Caenorhabditis elegans: one gene and its partner. The protein of the gene in region 2 interacts with the protein of the main gene of each other region in a biochemical or structural test. Each region holds a gene or a part of one and is shown on either strand. Other genes may lie near its edges.

Region 1 (5,268 bases), on a different chromosome or scaffold from region 2:
TTTTTCAGTATAAGAACAATGTTCCCGTGCCGGATTTCATTTGTGAAAACATCGAAGTCATATCTGAAGAATATATGAAATATCGAAATTTAAAAAACGGCATTGGGAAACCAGTAATTATTAAGTTTCGGTTCGGCGTGCTTATTGATACACTGTTGGAGAATTTAAAGTTAGTTTTTAGAGGAATTTTCGGGGAATCCGGCCGGGAGGGCGGATGTGTGAGTTTCCTCGTTCCGAAATTTTTTTAGATACCAAGAGATCATTCGTATTTCATTTAATTTCAGAACTGCTTGGACAAACAATCTTGCGAATAAAGAAAGTTTAAAATTCAAAGTTTATTCAACTGTGAGTTAGCTTGTTCTTCCAAAAATCTGTCGTTTCAGCAAGATTGGGTGCTGGGAGGTGTTTTAGATGCTTTCGGTGTATCATTTACTATATATAAAGCGCGTGTCCTTCTGTCCCTATGTAGTTTGATCTCTGATCAGAGCAACGAAATTTTGGGAAACCTTATGCTAAATGCGCAGCAGACATCGATCGAGGTCCGCGATAGACACCGTTTATCTAATGTGTTTTCTCAAAAAAGTCGGGGGCCGCGCCGTAGGTGCGGTCCACGGCTGGTTAAATCATATCCAAACAGTTGGTCCTAAAGAAGAACCAAACTACAATGCAATGATTCTAATGGAGCTATGGAGTGAGAATGAAAAGCCATTCGTGAAGTTTTACTATAAACCGGAAGAGGTTACTCTGGAAGACCATATTCTACAAGATTTGACTGGTATCATTCCAGGATGCCCAGGGAAAAAATGTTCTCTGAGGGTGGGTTCTAATCATAAAAATTACTTTTAGGATATTTTATCTTTCAGAATTTGAATAAATGCTGTGATAATACCCGAGCAACACTGGAAGAACTTGAAAATAATTGTTGAACTTTTTATAAATAATATTTTAATTTGTAATTCGTCTTCTCTATTTTCAAAACTTACTGGCGCCTTTGCAAACTCATGCATTTTAAACAAATTGTTCGAAAAAAAGAGAATGATACGTTTTGGCTGACAAAAGGAATAAAATATGTATTGTTTCTTCAGAATTGACTCAGCGCTTTCTTGAAATCATTTTTAATCATATTCCTTATTTTGGTCAGTTGGCATTTCATTTTGGATTTGAATATCCCATATACAACCTTCATATAAGATATTCTTGAACATTTACACATCCTTAGCATGTTCTCAACAGAACGTTGAACTTTTTATTTATTCTTTGTGCAGTAGGAATTATAACAAAAGATAAGATAGTAGCAAGAAAATGAAAGATAAGGGTAGATAACCAGCAATTTTCTTGTTCCTGGATATCTCTGCACTATATCTTCATCTTCTTCTAATTCTGATTTTTTGGATACTTTGGTTTTTCATTTATTTAGTCCGTTCAAAGTTGAAGTTGTTTCTGAGTACTTTTGGCAGAAGCCACGTAAGCAAGGCAGGCAGGCACTTGCATGAAAGTACTTTTATGAGAAATTATTATTAAATAAATAAATAAACTGGAAAATCTAAGAAAAACTTCCACCTCTGCGACCTCCGCGTGCTTCAGAAAGGTGATTTATTTGATTTATTTGTTTTTTTTTACTCGTGAAACACAGCTTTTCAATCTCATGTTTCAATTTCTTGTAATTTTTCAACTTCAAGCTTGTTGGTAAACAATTTTCATGTATTTTTATTTTATATCTCTAATATTACAGAAGTGAGAAATCAAAAGATGAAGATTTCATGGTTTTTGTTCATTTGTTTGATTGTTCAATTCGCCATCGCACTTTCTGAAAACCCCAAACGGATTTACACACAAGTGGTAAGATAATGTCATCCGTCTTTTACATACATAAATATTCTTAGCTATTTCGTCATGGAGCCCGTGCCCCATCAAATAGTCTCAGCGATCCTGCTTATCTTGCAAACTTTCCAAGAGGTCTAGGAGAATTGACTGATGTAAGACTGTTATTTTATTAATTTAAGTTTGAAAATAGTAATTTCAGAGAGGCTTCGAAAATTCATTTCGATTGGGACGATTCTTAAAAACTCGATATGTAGACTCGAAATTTGTTGATGGAAATTTGAAGCCACGTCAGGTATCGTTATTTTTCAGAAATTTTATTATATTTTTCAAAATTTCAGATGTATTGGAGATCCGTAAACAAAAATCGATGTCTAAGCTCAGCGTCAACCGTTGGTGCGGCTATGTTCGAAGATCCATCTAGGCATTTATATGTTCCTGTTCTTACAGAGGAGATCGGAGAAAATGTATTTAGAAATTGAAAATAAAAATAACTGATTAATCTATCCTTTTATTTCAGCTACTAAACTACGACCAAGCTAACTGTCCCCGAGAGTTAGAGCTGATCAAAGAGAAATGCCCAGATTTTGGTGGAAGTTTTCATCCGGTAAGATATATAGAGCTTTTCAGATTGGTATTGGATTTGAATAAAGTTTTATTAAAAGTCAAACATTTCAAAAATGATTATTCTTCAGTGGACGATTTACGAGGAATTCATTGCCAACTGTCTTAAATATACTCACCCAGTTTTCAAGCAATACCCTTTTCACACCATTGAAGCTCATATCAATGAGGTTTATTTTAAACTCATTCAGCGTCTAAGCTGTTCATTTATTTATTTTTTCAGTACAAAAATGGAATTCCTCTTCCACCACTCATCGCTCAACATATAAACGAAATCATGGGTATTTATGTGAATGTGACCCAGTTTATCACAGGAACTGGTAATCATCATGACCCGCGAATGATGAAGGTCAAATTTGGAAATCTTATGAACACGTTGCTAACGGACATTAAAAATAAGATATACATGGATAAAGAAGAGAAACACAAGAGTGATGGAAGAGTATCCAGAAGGGAGAAGTTGGCAGTGTACTCTACGGTATGTTATATCATATACACAACATGGCTCAGATATGTCGATAAGGTCGAGGCGTGGCGAGGGCGTTTGTCACTCGCCTCCTTACTAGCCCTCTTCGCGTTCTGTATCGAATTATATTTTCGGATGTCTTTTCGGTTTTTGGATGATATGGTTAATCTAAAACACCATTGGTGTCTCTTTTTTCGAGTTTCTAGAGTTATTTCCAAGTTCAAAATCAGTATTTGCTGATTAATCCTAATAATAAAATATTTCAGCAAGACTGGATTCTAATGGGAGTGCTCGATTCATTGAATGTGTTGGAACAAACTGTTGGACTCGACAAATATCCCGAATACAACTCAATGATCATATTTGAAACGTGGAAGGATAATGGAAAATATTTTGTGAAAGTTTTCTATAAAAAAGAAGAGATCACTGCCGAGGATCATGAGCTAATAGATGTCACCAAATTTGTGAGAAACTGTAAAAGAGAACGATGTTTGGCACAGGTTTGTTTTGAACTTTTGTTTTCTCATTCATACATTAAAAATGTATTTCAGGATTTCCTCGACTGCTGCGATGATTATCGAAACAAAGGTGAAGCTGAGAGTTGTGAAGCATCTGATTTAAAGATTCGAACCACGAGAAGCTCTCCACCTAATAATATTAGAAGAGATCTTCATGTATCGGAATTCTCTGGTCCAGAATAATCAATTAGTTGATACTGTTTCTTTCTGTAAATACATGCGAATGAAGTGAATCGATTGATATTTATATTCCATTTAAATGAAGGTTCCGCGTGAAATACTCAAGTATAAATTGTGGTTTCGATGGAAAAAGGACCTAGCTTTGCATATTGAACTTCCGTAGCCTAACAACCAAAAAAGTTTCTCTTCGTTTTTTTTTTCGTCCGATTAATTCGTCATCTCCACTTAACCGACTATACGACGAATGGGCATCGGTCTATTCGTCGAGATCCTCCTTCTCTTGATGCCGTAAGTTTTCTCTGTCGGACTGCAGAAGACAAAACAAGTCTCTTCACCTTCCTGAGCGCATTGTTCTCTTCTATTTCTCGTCCTCTCTCCTTTTATGCCTAGTTTACCGATCGGCCTGTTCTGTTCGATAATATTATCTCAAAAATATTGTTTCGGGTGGACGGAGGGCGTTTTGTTTTTAACAATATAGCCACGTGGCCCGGTTGTAATTTCTCGGCAAATCATTAGTTTTTCTAGCGTATTTTTTCCTACCTAAATTTGTGAGAATTAGCATCAAAAATGGACATTATTTATTTTGAAAAGTTTAATTATTATTCCCCAAATGCGAAATTTTGTGCTAAGAATACGGTATTCAAATCAATCAATAAAAGTCCGCAAAAACACACATTCGAAACTACAGTACTGTTTAAAGGGGCATGCCCTTTTGCATTTAACAAAAACTGTCGTGCCGAGACCGGGTACTGTAGTTTTGACGCAAAAATTACGAAATTTTTTTGTTCTCAGTTTTCAAGTTCAGGCAAAGTTAGTTGAATTCTCAAAAAATAATATTTAATTACAGAGGCATAGTATTTTCATTAAATAAGATGACGTGTCAGGTTTTCTGACAATAGTTTGCGCGTTGTTTAGTGCGCATTGTGTGCAAACACCACTGGTCCGCAAGTTTCCGTGCCCAGGTTCCAACGGATTTCTATTTGTTTTCCAGGATCCGTTTTCTATTTTTTCAAGTCTTTTTCTCTATCTTCTATATTTTCCGACAAAAAAGAGGGTTTCTGTGTGCACACTTGTCCACTTTTCACCACATTTTTATATACCTAATTGTTGTCGTTTCAATTAAAATTCGACATTTTTCTCAAATGACGTCACTTTCAGAATGTTTTTCTATTTGCACACGTTGAAAATTTATTTTCAGGGTCCTGAACCTGAAATATGTGGAGGTTTCCACTGATACTCGCGTCGGTTTGTTGGCTGACAACAGGTATGTCAGGAATATTCAATTGATTCAAAATAAATTCAAATTTCAGCTCAACAACAAAACGTAGCGAACGATCCAGATAAGAAGTTGGCCAGTTTCGATGCATGCAAAGCAGATATTCATAAACATTGTAGCCGAGTGAGTTTGACATTAAAGCTATTGATAGGCAAATAAAATATTTCAGCCTGATGTAGATCTAACAAGCGACATGTCGATTCTTGAATGCCTTCAAGATGCCGGATTTTCTGAGACAGCGACTCTATCCGAACAGTGTGAGCAACTTGTCTGGGATTTCAAGGTCAAAATAACACAAGACGAGCGTTTCGTATCCGCGGCCAAACAATATTGCGAGGAAGAGTTGAAGGGAAATGCTGCAATGAATCTTTGTACATCTCAAA
Region 2 (10,012 bases):
CTCTTTTGTTTTTCCCTTTGTCAGTTGTATAACTTTCTTTTATCAAATTATTTCCCTACGAGATTTTTAGAAAACTCGTTTTCCTGTTTCTTCTGTTTTTGCTTCATCACCATCAAATTTTCATCATATCCAAACAGCTGAAAAGTGCTGGAAAAAAGAATGAAAAAAAACAAGATTAGTATTCGGGTCAGTATGGGGAACCTCTGAAAAAAGAACGGCTCAAGGAAAAAAAATACTGAAAATATAGTCTGGCGTTGAAAATTAGAGGCCAAAGGCGGACAAGAGCAATATTTGAAATTAATTTCTACATGCTTCTTTTCCTCATCTCACTTCAAACAAAAAATTTGCTTTCTTTTTTCTTTTTTTTTTGCAAAATTAAACTAACTTGTGTTGCAAACTAAATTTCACGAAAAAGTAACACAAATTTTTTTGAAAAAGCTTAGTTTTTTAAATAATACCTGTTCATTTCTATATTTCCAAAAATTCCAAATTTCAGAATGTAGTTTCTCACTTTAAATCATATTGAGAAGTCTAAATTATATAACTGCCTATATTTTTCATAGTAAAGCTTTTATGCAGTTTAGTTTCTCTGGAAAAAAAAACATGGATTATTTTCGAAATTTGTCAAATATTTTGCTTCAGCGTCATTTTCTAAATGCCACTCAAAACATCCCGAAAAAAATGAAAATAAATTTGACGATCATTTTTGAAGTTTAGTTTACAAATCTTTTTGTCGAAATTATTTTTGAAAATTTCAAAAAATTACAGTTTTAGTGTATACCACTTTGGTAATTAAAAAACGTTTTTCAGATTCCAGTAGGTCTATGAAATTGTTGAGTGATAAGTTGAACTTTAAGCTGATGCTATAAAATAATTTCAGAAACAAAAATTGTTAACTTTCTTGAACTAATCATTTGCCAACTAACAATCAACTATAAATAAAGACGAATCCTGTAAAACAATTGCATACCTGTATATCAATCAATTTACTGTTTTCTATGTCTCCAGCTTTTCGAAACTCTCAATGAAGAAAATAAAAGTAAAGAAACAGAAAAGTACATTTCCAAAAGTGCTTGTCACTTCCAGCTCTTCTCCGTGTCCGTTTTGATCTGAAGTGCTTGCGACGATGGCGACCGAATAGCTGACTTTCTCGTGCCAATTAATCAAATTTATTCACATTCACATTCGCACACATATCTCCACCGCTTGCTCCTCCTCTTCTTTCATTCTTTTTTTGGTGAAAGCACTGATACATCCTTCTCATCTAAGAATTTGTCAACTGAAACCCACCCAAATTATACATTTTACTCGATTCATTAGATATATCTCAGTTCTCGGTTTTCTCTTTTTCCGCTTTAAGATCACTGTTCATTTTAATTCACATATATTTTTAGGTGCTTGCTTTCTAGTTTTAAAGTTTCCCACGTACTTTGCTGTCATAAAAACGTCATAATTTTGATAATAAGATATTTTTTGAGACTAGTTGACAAATTAATATGATATATACATATTCAACACTCTCTTGCACTTTTGTTATTCGCAGTCACTTCCAAAATAAAAATTTTATTAGCTGATTATTAAAATGTATCGCTATGTTCAAGCTTGTTTTTGATTTTGCATTAAATTGAACTTTCGTTTTGGGAAATTAAGCAATATTTTTTTATTATTTTTGTCTATAGAAATAAATTTAACAAAAAATTAGTATTCTTCAAAACCTCGACTGAAAATGATAACCTCAAGCTAAAAGTTTCGACGTTTTCTCGTTCGTTTCCAAAGTTTAAAAATTTACCGTATTTCTTCTATTAATATGGCTGCAATACTATTTTTCGAAGGTCTTCCCGCTTGCAATACTATTAGGGAGTGCAAGACTAATAGGGAGTGAAATACTATTTTTCAGAACATTTTTCTGTGTTGGGGCTTACTAGTATTTACTTGAAAAAACTCCAACTTTAATTTGGAAATATAGAAAATTTGATTGAAATTGCAACAAAAAGGTACAATAACTTCAATCTCATAAAAATTTTCTTATAAATTGTTGCAAAATATTCAAAAAATGTTATTAAAATCTTAAAATTAGTAAGGAGGGTTTGCACCAAAAAAAAGTAGGTGCAAGACTATTAGGGAGTGCAACACTAATAGGGAATGCAATACTAATTTTCGGAAGGTCTTTGAAGGGCAATACTAATAGGGAGTGCCAGTCTAATAGGGAGGCCAAACTAATAGAAGATATACGGTAAAAGATTATAAAATTAGAAGTGAAGATGTTACTAAAAAATTGTTCTCTGTAGGTTAAAATTCTAACTTGCTTTTTCAATAAACCTAAAACTTGCCTGGTAAAACATTTCCCCCGTTTCCGGGAATTTTCCTCAAAATATATCAACTTTTAATAGCAAAAGTGTTCTGAGACACTGAAATTGATATCCTGTGAAACAGCATCTGACCACTAAAACAATTATCGAAACTCAGACGTTCAATTTTTCCATTTTACAAAAATTATAGCTTGAACACATTTTGCAAAATGCCGAATGACAGATTCAACTTTGAACAAATATTTTGCATTTTGCATTTCCTTTAAAAAAAAATCTCCCAGTTATTTTGTCAGAAAATGGGGTGACACAAGAAAGAAACTTTTTTTGAAAAGCCTTGTTTGTTGCTTTCTCATTTATTGCCGTCGCCGGAGGCCTCTTTCCGAATTGTTGCCAGGACACCTTTTCCTAGTTTTTTCGTTGATTTTCATGTCTCACAACTTCAATTTTTCATTCTTGATCGAAATATTCTTCGTTTCAATTTCTGCTCTTTTTCATTTCTTCTTGATTTAGTATTTTTGGATCGTCCCCCCGTCAATGTCAATTCGACGACGGAACAATAATGGAACAAGTCCGTCGACCGCATTTGGGTAAGTGTTTCAAACAGGAAGAAATTTCAACAAAAAATGAAAAAGCAATTTGCAAAATGAATGGGAGCAGTGGAAAAAAAGTGAAAATGAATTAGATATACTGATGCTCTCTCTCTCTCTGCAAAAAAAGAAGATGAGAGAATAAAAATTAAATTGAGAAAAGGGCAGGTTACAAAGCTCATTGTCCTTTTTTTGCCAATCATTGTGAGTCTAAAATGGGCGACAGCATTCAAAAATTGTGAACTCTAGATTTTCGGCTTAAAAACTTGCATGCCGTGTTCGTAATTGTGTTTGTAGTGTTGTGAGCTAGTTGAGTGAATTTTGCTTAACAATTTTAAAATTCATAATTTTTTATTATAATGTGTCACTGTAAATAATACTTTGGATTTTTTTAACCATTATTTCCCACGATGAGTTATCTGAACCGGTTTATCGTTATCTGAAAACTCATAAATTTTACCAAGATTTCTGCAAAATACGGCTGATCTTACAACAAGTCAGTGTATTAGAGGGCGCAACACTAACTTTCGATTTGCTCCTAGGGCTGCAATACTAATATAGAAAACACGGTACATAGTTTTACAAGGTGTTATAAATTACAGTTATTTTTCTAAAAGTTTTATAAGAACCTCTTAAACTTGGACTATTTAAAATCTAAACTTCAAAACATTTTTTACAGCTGGATTTTTAACCCCGATGCTTTCTAACAACTTGCTCGCGTAAATCTTATTTTTCTTAGCTTCTACCCTGACAAAAGTAATAAACCATTTTCTTCAAAAATATCTGGAATAACAATAATAATAAAAGGGTAATAATCCGGTGTGTCCACTCATTTTTGCACCAACTGCTTCCTTTCCTCGGTGGCCCACATCTCCTTCATTTCCTTTATTCTTTCTTTCCCGCACTCTCGTCATGCGCATTCTTTTTTTTTCAGTCGACACCTTCCAAAAGAGAAGTGACAAAGTACATTTCCGTGTCCTTTGATGAGCAGCAATTAATGGGATGGAAGACTAGTGAGGGTGGAGGTGAATCTAGGAGAGATTCTAAATGTAGCCATGAATATAAATATTTGCTCACAAGTATTTTCTTTTTTCGCCCGGAAGTATCGCTTGAAAATCTTCGAGATCTTGAAAATCTTACTATTAGGTTCTTATAAAAAATGCTTCTTCAGATTCTAATTTTCGTTCTTACTGCACGTTATTTCCTATGTTTTGCTTTTTCGTCTAATCTAGTAGTGTCAGATTCTCAATTTGCTGCTGACCTTCTCACTTTTCATACAAATTCTTCATGATTCGGTTTTTCCACTATTCTCTCCCTCTCTGTCTCTCTATTTCTCTTCCTCTCTTTTTCCTTTTTTCACACTCCAATGCGGCCACCCAAATTGTATTTTCTGATGATATCTCCATATGAGCCACAGCACCAGTTACAATCTTGCTCAACAAAAATCATTTGTTTACCCCAAGTCACAAATATTCTCGAAAATTGGAACTAAATCTAGAAAGGCACTTCTTTGGACAGAAATATAATTTTAATCTGAACTTCTTATTTGAAGATGGAGTATTGAGAGTAGGGAAATGATTTGAAACCGCTCGTATAGTCCTAAAAATTCAAACTTTGCAAATCAATTTTGCAAAAATTTTGTTAAATTGTTATAAATCTCAGTCAAAAAGTGGAGATAACTCAAAATTGGTTTCAAAATTTTAAATGCGTTTCAATTTTTGTATTTGAACATTCTAGAACATTCAAACCTGCAGCAATTCTTAAAATCACTCAAAAAAAACCGCATTGTTGGAAAAAGTTGCCAGTTCTTCCAAAATTAGAGTAAAACAAATCGAAGAACAGCTACACAGCTAAATTTCAAAAAAAAACGGAGTATTTTCTTACATTAGGAATAACTGATTATAATCAAAATAGCCTGAAACGATACGAAATCTAAAAAATATATAAATGAACAAAAAATTTTTCAAGATAACTCAAGCATCTAATTGTCTAACAAGAAGTAACTCTTTTCCTTTTTCTTCAGTTGGCACCATCGATAATTACGTACATTAAGCCGAGTCTTCTCTGTCCGTGTCCTGTGTGTCTCATCATGATCCATGTACCACCTTCTTCTTCTACTACTACTTCTTGTTCTTTTTCCTCCTTTCTCGAAGTCCTCTTCCTACTCTCTATTTCGTTGTCCTGCAATCTAGAGTATGTGACAAAACATATCAAATTACCCGTGAACGATAATCTCTCTTTATTTCGTCTCATCTCTCTTTTTGCTCTGCAGAGGATCGGCTCATCATCCACTTGTTGGAATGTCTATTTTCACCGCCATCGCAACACTTTTGACAATTCAAAAAAATAATTTGTTGATGTTCGCTTTTTCTGTCCAACTGTTTCTAGGTGACCGAGTTCTTTTGCTAGAAAAGTCAACAAAAAGTGAATTAGCTGGCTGTTGCTGGGGAAAAATGTGGATTTGAAATATTTTCGGTCACATTTCCCTCTCGCTTTGCTTGCTTTGAATCAAAATTTCAATAGGTACTTGCTTTTCGTGTTTTGAGACTATTTGGACTTTCTTTGTGGTATTTGGGTGTGGGGTTTATAAGTTCAACGTTTCGTTTTTTCTTGCCAAAATGTTTAGTAATGATAATGCAATCGTTTCCAGACCAAAAGGCGTACAATTGTAGTTTTCTGATTTCGGAAGTTAATTGTATTTTTGGAATGTGAAAAACAATCCGGCAAAAACATTGAACACCTCTATCTGGTTGATACAATTTTACGGTGTATTTTGTAATAAAAAATAGAATTTAATAAATATAGCTGATCAGAGCGAAAAAATACAAAGAACCACATGGAGTCATATTCAAAAATCTATAGAAATAGTGACGTAGGAAATTATAAAATTATACATTATCCGAAGAAAAATAGCTTACTCAAAAAATGTTCATAATCAAGATCGACCAAAAAATATGTTTTGAGTTGTTATGTGAGTTTATAAGAGTATAATGTAAACAAATATTTATCCATGAAAATCATTTTCTTAAATTTGAATCGTTTTCTAATAGAGCATTTTTATTAAAATAAATCTGTAGGTTTAAAAAAAATTGTTTTTAAAACGTGACCTCCAAAAGAACTAAAATAAATTTATTTTTGTTTTATTGTCGAAAGTTTATTGTTGAAATTGTAAACTTGGGAATCTGCCTCGCAATAAGTATCCGTACAACTTACTTTCTAAACTAACTGTGGATATTTTTGATATTATAGGTTAACTTCAAACTTCTTTTTTTTCAAATCGAATAGATGTTTTTCTACATTTAAAAATAAATTTTTGCTCTAAAATGATATGCACACTGAAATTAGCAGTTTTGTGGATTTACCTAGAAGAATTTCCTCAAAACCTTTGTAGTGATACTAGAAAAATGCAGAAAACTTATTTTACCCATATCAATTCAAAATTTTCGGAACTTTTTCACGAGTACCGAGCCTCCCAATCTTAACAACTATCTGTAACTATACATCTCACGACGCCTCTCCTTTCGTCTTGTCTCTCATTTTGGCGTATGTGATCAAATTTTAATGAGGAAGCGGAAGGGACCACAAACATACAAGAGCGGGAACAATGGAAGCAAGAAGGGTGGGACGGGAGAGACATAGGAGATATGGCTCCAACTGGGGTGGTGTTGGTTGTGTGGCGTCGGCTGCGGCAAAAAATAAGACTGCTCCTCTGGCCCTTCATTCTCTGCTCTGGTGGCACGCTTTTATGATTGTTATTATCCGGTCTCAACACAACAATTCATCACGCTCCAGATGCTGCTTTTGTGCCAGATCTCTTGAGCCACCAGAAACAAACTTACAAATTTACGATTTAGATGCATTACGGATAACTTTTGTGAACATCCCCCTCCTCCTACCGTAGTCGACTCCAAAGTGATATGTTTTCCGTCATTATGTTCGGGCTTATGTGCATTTTTATGTACGTCTTGCTTTCTCAACAACAGCTTTCTAAGTTTGATATCACTTTCTGTATATTTAGCTGAGATTAAGCGTCCTTCGAAGGATATACAACATACTGAATTACGTCTAGTGAAAGGCTTAAAAGTTAACTAGTAGGCCTGACTGAAAAACTTGGTTTTTGAAATCCAAAAAAACATCAATTATACATTGCTCACTAGTCAGTTAACGTTGTTTTTTTTTCATTTGCTTACAGAAACAATTTTCTAATAATTACAGACAGACTGTCATGGACAGTGAATACCGGATCATACTCAACGTGGGTGGTGTTCGACACGAAACCTATAAGCATACGCTTAAGAAAATTCCAGCTACACGGTAAAGTAACAATTATTCCATATTTCTTTCTAGCATGATTTTTTTTATTCAGACTATCCCGGTTGACTACAAATTTGGCCAATTATGATCCAGTTTTAAACGAGTATTTTTTCGATAGACATCCCGGAGTTTTTGCGCAAATACTAAATTATTATAGGTAACAAGGCACAAATCGCATTTTCGATAATTTTTTTGAGTTTAAGAACGGGCAAATTGCATTATCCTCTTGACGTGTGTGGACCATTATTTGAAGAGGAGTTAAAGGTAAGAAGATAATTGTTAAAAGATAAGAAAATACATTATTTTTTAGTATTGGGGACTTGATTCAAATGAATGCGAACCATGCTGTTGGATGACATTATCTGGTACAAGAGATACACAAGATGTGCTCAAAACATTAGACGAGTTGGATATTGAAGTTGATCAAACAGAAGGACCTGTAAGCTTTTTGTATAACAAGAGAAAAATGCAGAATTTTAGAACATTTTTTATCCATTATGATTCATTTTACAAAGCAATATAAAAGTTTTTGCGACTCCTAATCAAAAAAAAACCGGCATACTAAGTACAACGTGAATTTGGTTGCTATGTCTGCACATTGTGGAGTAAAAAGTAATCGAATGAGATCGTGGCGAGACCCACCGAGAAAAAAACCGTGCCTTTAAATTTTAAAGGCACAGTTTTAAATTTGAAGTGTTCCTATTATAGTTTTTTTTGAAATTTTGAAGCTTCATTTTAAAGTTTAAAATGAAGCTTCAAAATTTCAAAAAAAAAACACTATAATAGGAATACTTCAAATTTTTCGAGGTTTCAAACTCGCTATACTTCAGATTTTAAAGTAACTATTATAGAAGTAAATATTGGTGCCAGATATCTCTCAGATAGTCAGAAAAATTCTATTTTTTACCAATTTGACAATAGGCTTGGTCTAAAAAAGTCACGATTGGCAAAATTAAAACTCGAAATTTTCAGGAACTGTACAAACGATTTGGTTGGGAGGATGACTATCATAATGATAGTCTCAGTGCCTGGCAGAAGATCAAACCTCGGATTTGGAGGCTTTTCGATGAACCAAATTCATCTAGATCAGCACAATTTATAGCAGCTATTTCTGTATTTTTTCTGATAACAGCCATCATTGTTTTCTGTCTGAAAACCCATCCTGGTTTGAGGATCCCTGAATTAGCTCCATTTGGAAACTTTTCGCGGAATCATCGGAGTACATCTTCACGAATACATCCTGCACAGATAAACATTGATAAGGCCAATTCTAGGCCTCATCCAACTTTTATGGTACAGTATACAGAAAGATTGAATATTTAATATTCCTTATACTTTTCAGTACATAGAAACAATATGTAACATTTGGTTCACGATTGAAATTCTGGCAAGATTCTCTTCATGTCCATCTCGTTTTGAATATCTTCGTGCACCTGTGAACATTATCGACATTGTTGCCACTTTGACATTCTACATTGATTTATTATCAAGCATGTTTGGAGCAACTGCAGATCTTGAGTTCTTCTCCATCATTCGTATTATGAGACTTTTCAAATTGACTCATCATAATTCGGGACTCAAGATTTTGATGCACACCTTCCGAGCATCAGCAAAGGAATTGATGCTACTTGTATTCTTTTTGGTATTGGGAGTTGTTGTATTTGCATCACTGGTGTATTATGCAGAACGGGTGGAAAGTAATGAAGATAATCAATTTGTGTCAATTCCGATTGGATTGTGGTGGGCGGTAAGTTGAGAATGTCTATTTATACTCACGTTAAGCCCTTTAAATTTTGAACTCAATATTTTGAAAGTACCTTTCTCCTTTTTTTTATTTTTTGAGTTGGATGAATGATTCAATTTTTCAAAACTATTTTTTATAGTTTCCAAAAAATTTCTGTACTGCGTGCCCACTTCTAAACATTCTTTAAAAAACAATTAAATGTCTGGAAATAACGTATTACGGGAACACTACGTTTTGAGGATGCGTATTGCGCAACATATTTGACGCGCAGAATATCTCGCACCGAAAACTACAGTAGTTCTTTAAATGACTACTGTCGCATTGTTTTTCACTTTTTTTTTCTGATGAAACATTGTAAAAAAACAACGAAAAATAGGAGGAAAATTAAATATCGTTGTCACAATTAGAAAAGAAATTCGTTTCGAAAGTGCAGCCTGTAAATTGACATCAGTGTTATAATAACATGTTACAGTAGACATTTAAAGATTTACTGTAGTTTTCGCTGCGAGATATTTTTCGCGTCAAATATGTTGTGCAATACGCATTCTCTGAATTTTACATTCTCGTAATATTTCTTGTTACAAATTCTGAAAGTAAAATGAAACCTTTCCTTGTAAAAATGAAACATCAGAACAAAATTCCAATTTCCAGATCGTCACAATGACAACAATTGGCTATGGTGACATAACACCTCATACATATCTGGGCCGCCTGATTGGTTCGATTTGTGCTCTCGCTGGTGTATTGACAATCGCTTTGCCAGTTCCAGTATGTTTTCCATTTATTATTCAAATTAATGTTGCCAGTTTTGAATTTTAATTTCAAGGTCATCGTCTCTAACTTCGCCATGTTCTATTCCCATACACAAGCTCGTTCAAAGATGCCCAAGAAAAGACGAGGAGTGCTCTCAATGGATCAAGTTGCTCAGCATGTAAGTAAAATATTCTAGGGGAGGCATTCGTGTATTTCAAACTTTCAGGTAAAACATGCTCCGGTTCGAAATTCCAATGGACCAACGCAACGGAAGAATATGGAAAATACACCACTTGTATCCAACA

The links.
Region 1: of the proteins of shw-3 (region 2) and acp-2, one has a biochemical effect on the other in vitro, tested with the Caenorhabditis elegans proteins (one study listed by BioGRID).

What each region holds. Positions count from the first base shown.
Region 1 is NC_003280.10:8,428,395-8,433,662, reverse strand, and holds acp-2 (ACid Phosphatase family), read left to right. Parts: upstream 1-1,732; 5' UTR 1,733-1,749; coding exon 1,750-1,839; intron 1,840-1,883; coding exon 1,884-1,976; intron 1,977-2,023; coding exon 2,024-2,116; intron 2,117-2,162; coding exon 2,163-2,288; intron 2,289-2,341; coding exon 2,342-2,428; intron 2,429-2,516; coding exon 2,517-2,615; intron 2,616-2,668; coding exon 2,669-2,923; intron 2,924-3,177; coding exon 3,178-3,411; intron 3,412-3,462; coding exon 3,463-3,612; 3' UTR 3,613-3,704; downstream 3,705-5,268. Other genes in the region: acp-4 (ACid Phosphatase family), read left to right, coding at 9-169, 285-345, 638-673; F14E5.2 (Golgi apparatus protein 1 homolog), read left to right, coding at 4,825-4,873, 4,920-5,008, 5,055-5,268.
Region 2 is NC_003283.11:12,973,441-12,983,452, reverse strand, and holds the start of shw-3 (BTB domain-containing protein), read left to right. Parts: upstream 1-2,843; coding exon 2,844-2,896; intron 2,897-7,111; coding exon 7,112-7,210; intron 7,211-7,262; coding exon 7,263-7,367; intron 7,368-7,413; coding exon 7,414-7,474; intron 7,475-7,520; coding exon 7,521-7,649; intron 7,650-7,720; exon of another isoform or gene 7,721-7,870; intron 7,871-8,182; coding exon 8,183-8,503; intron 8,504-8,552; coding exon 8,553-8,957; intron 8,958-9,143; exon of another isoform or gene 9,144-9,293; intron 9,294-9,605; coding exon 9,606-9,722; intron 9,723-9,780; coding exon 9,781-9,885; intron 9,886-9,933; coding exon 9,934-10,012.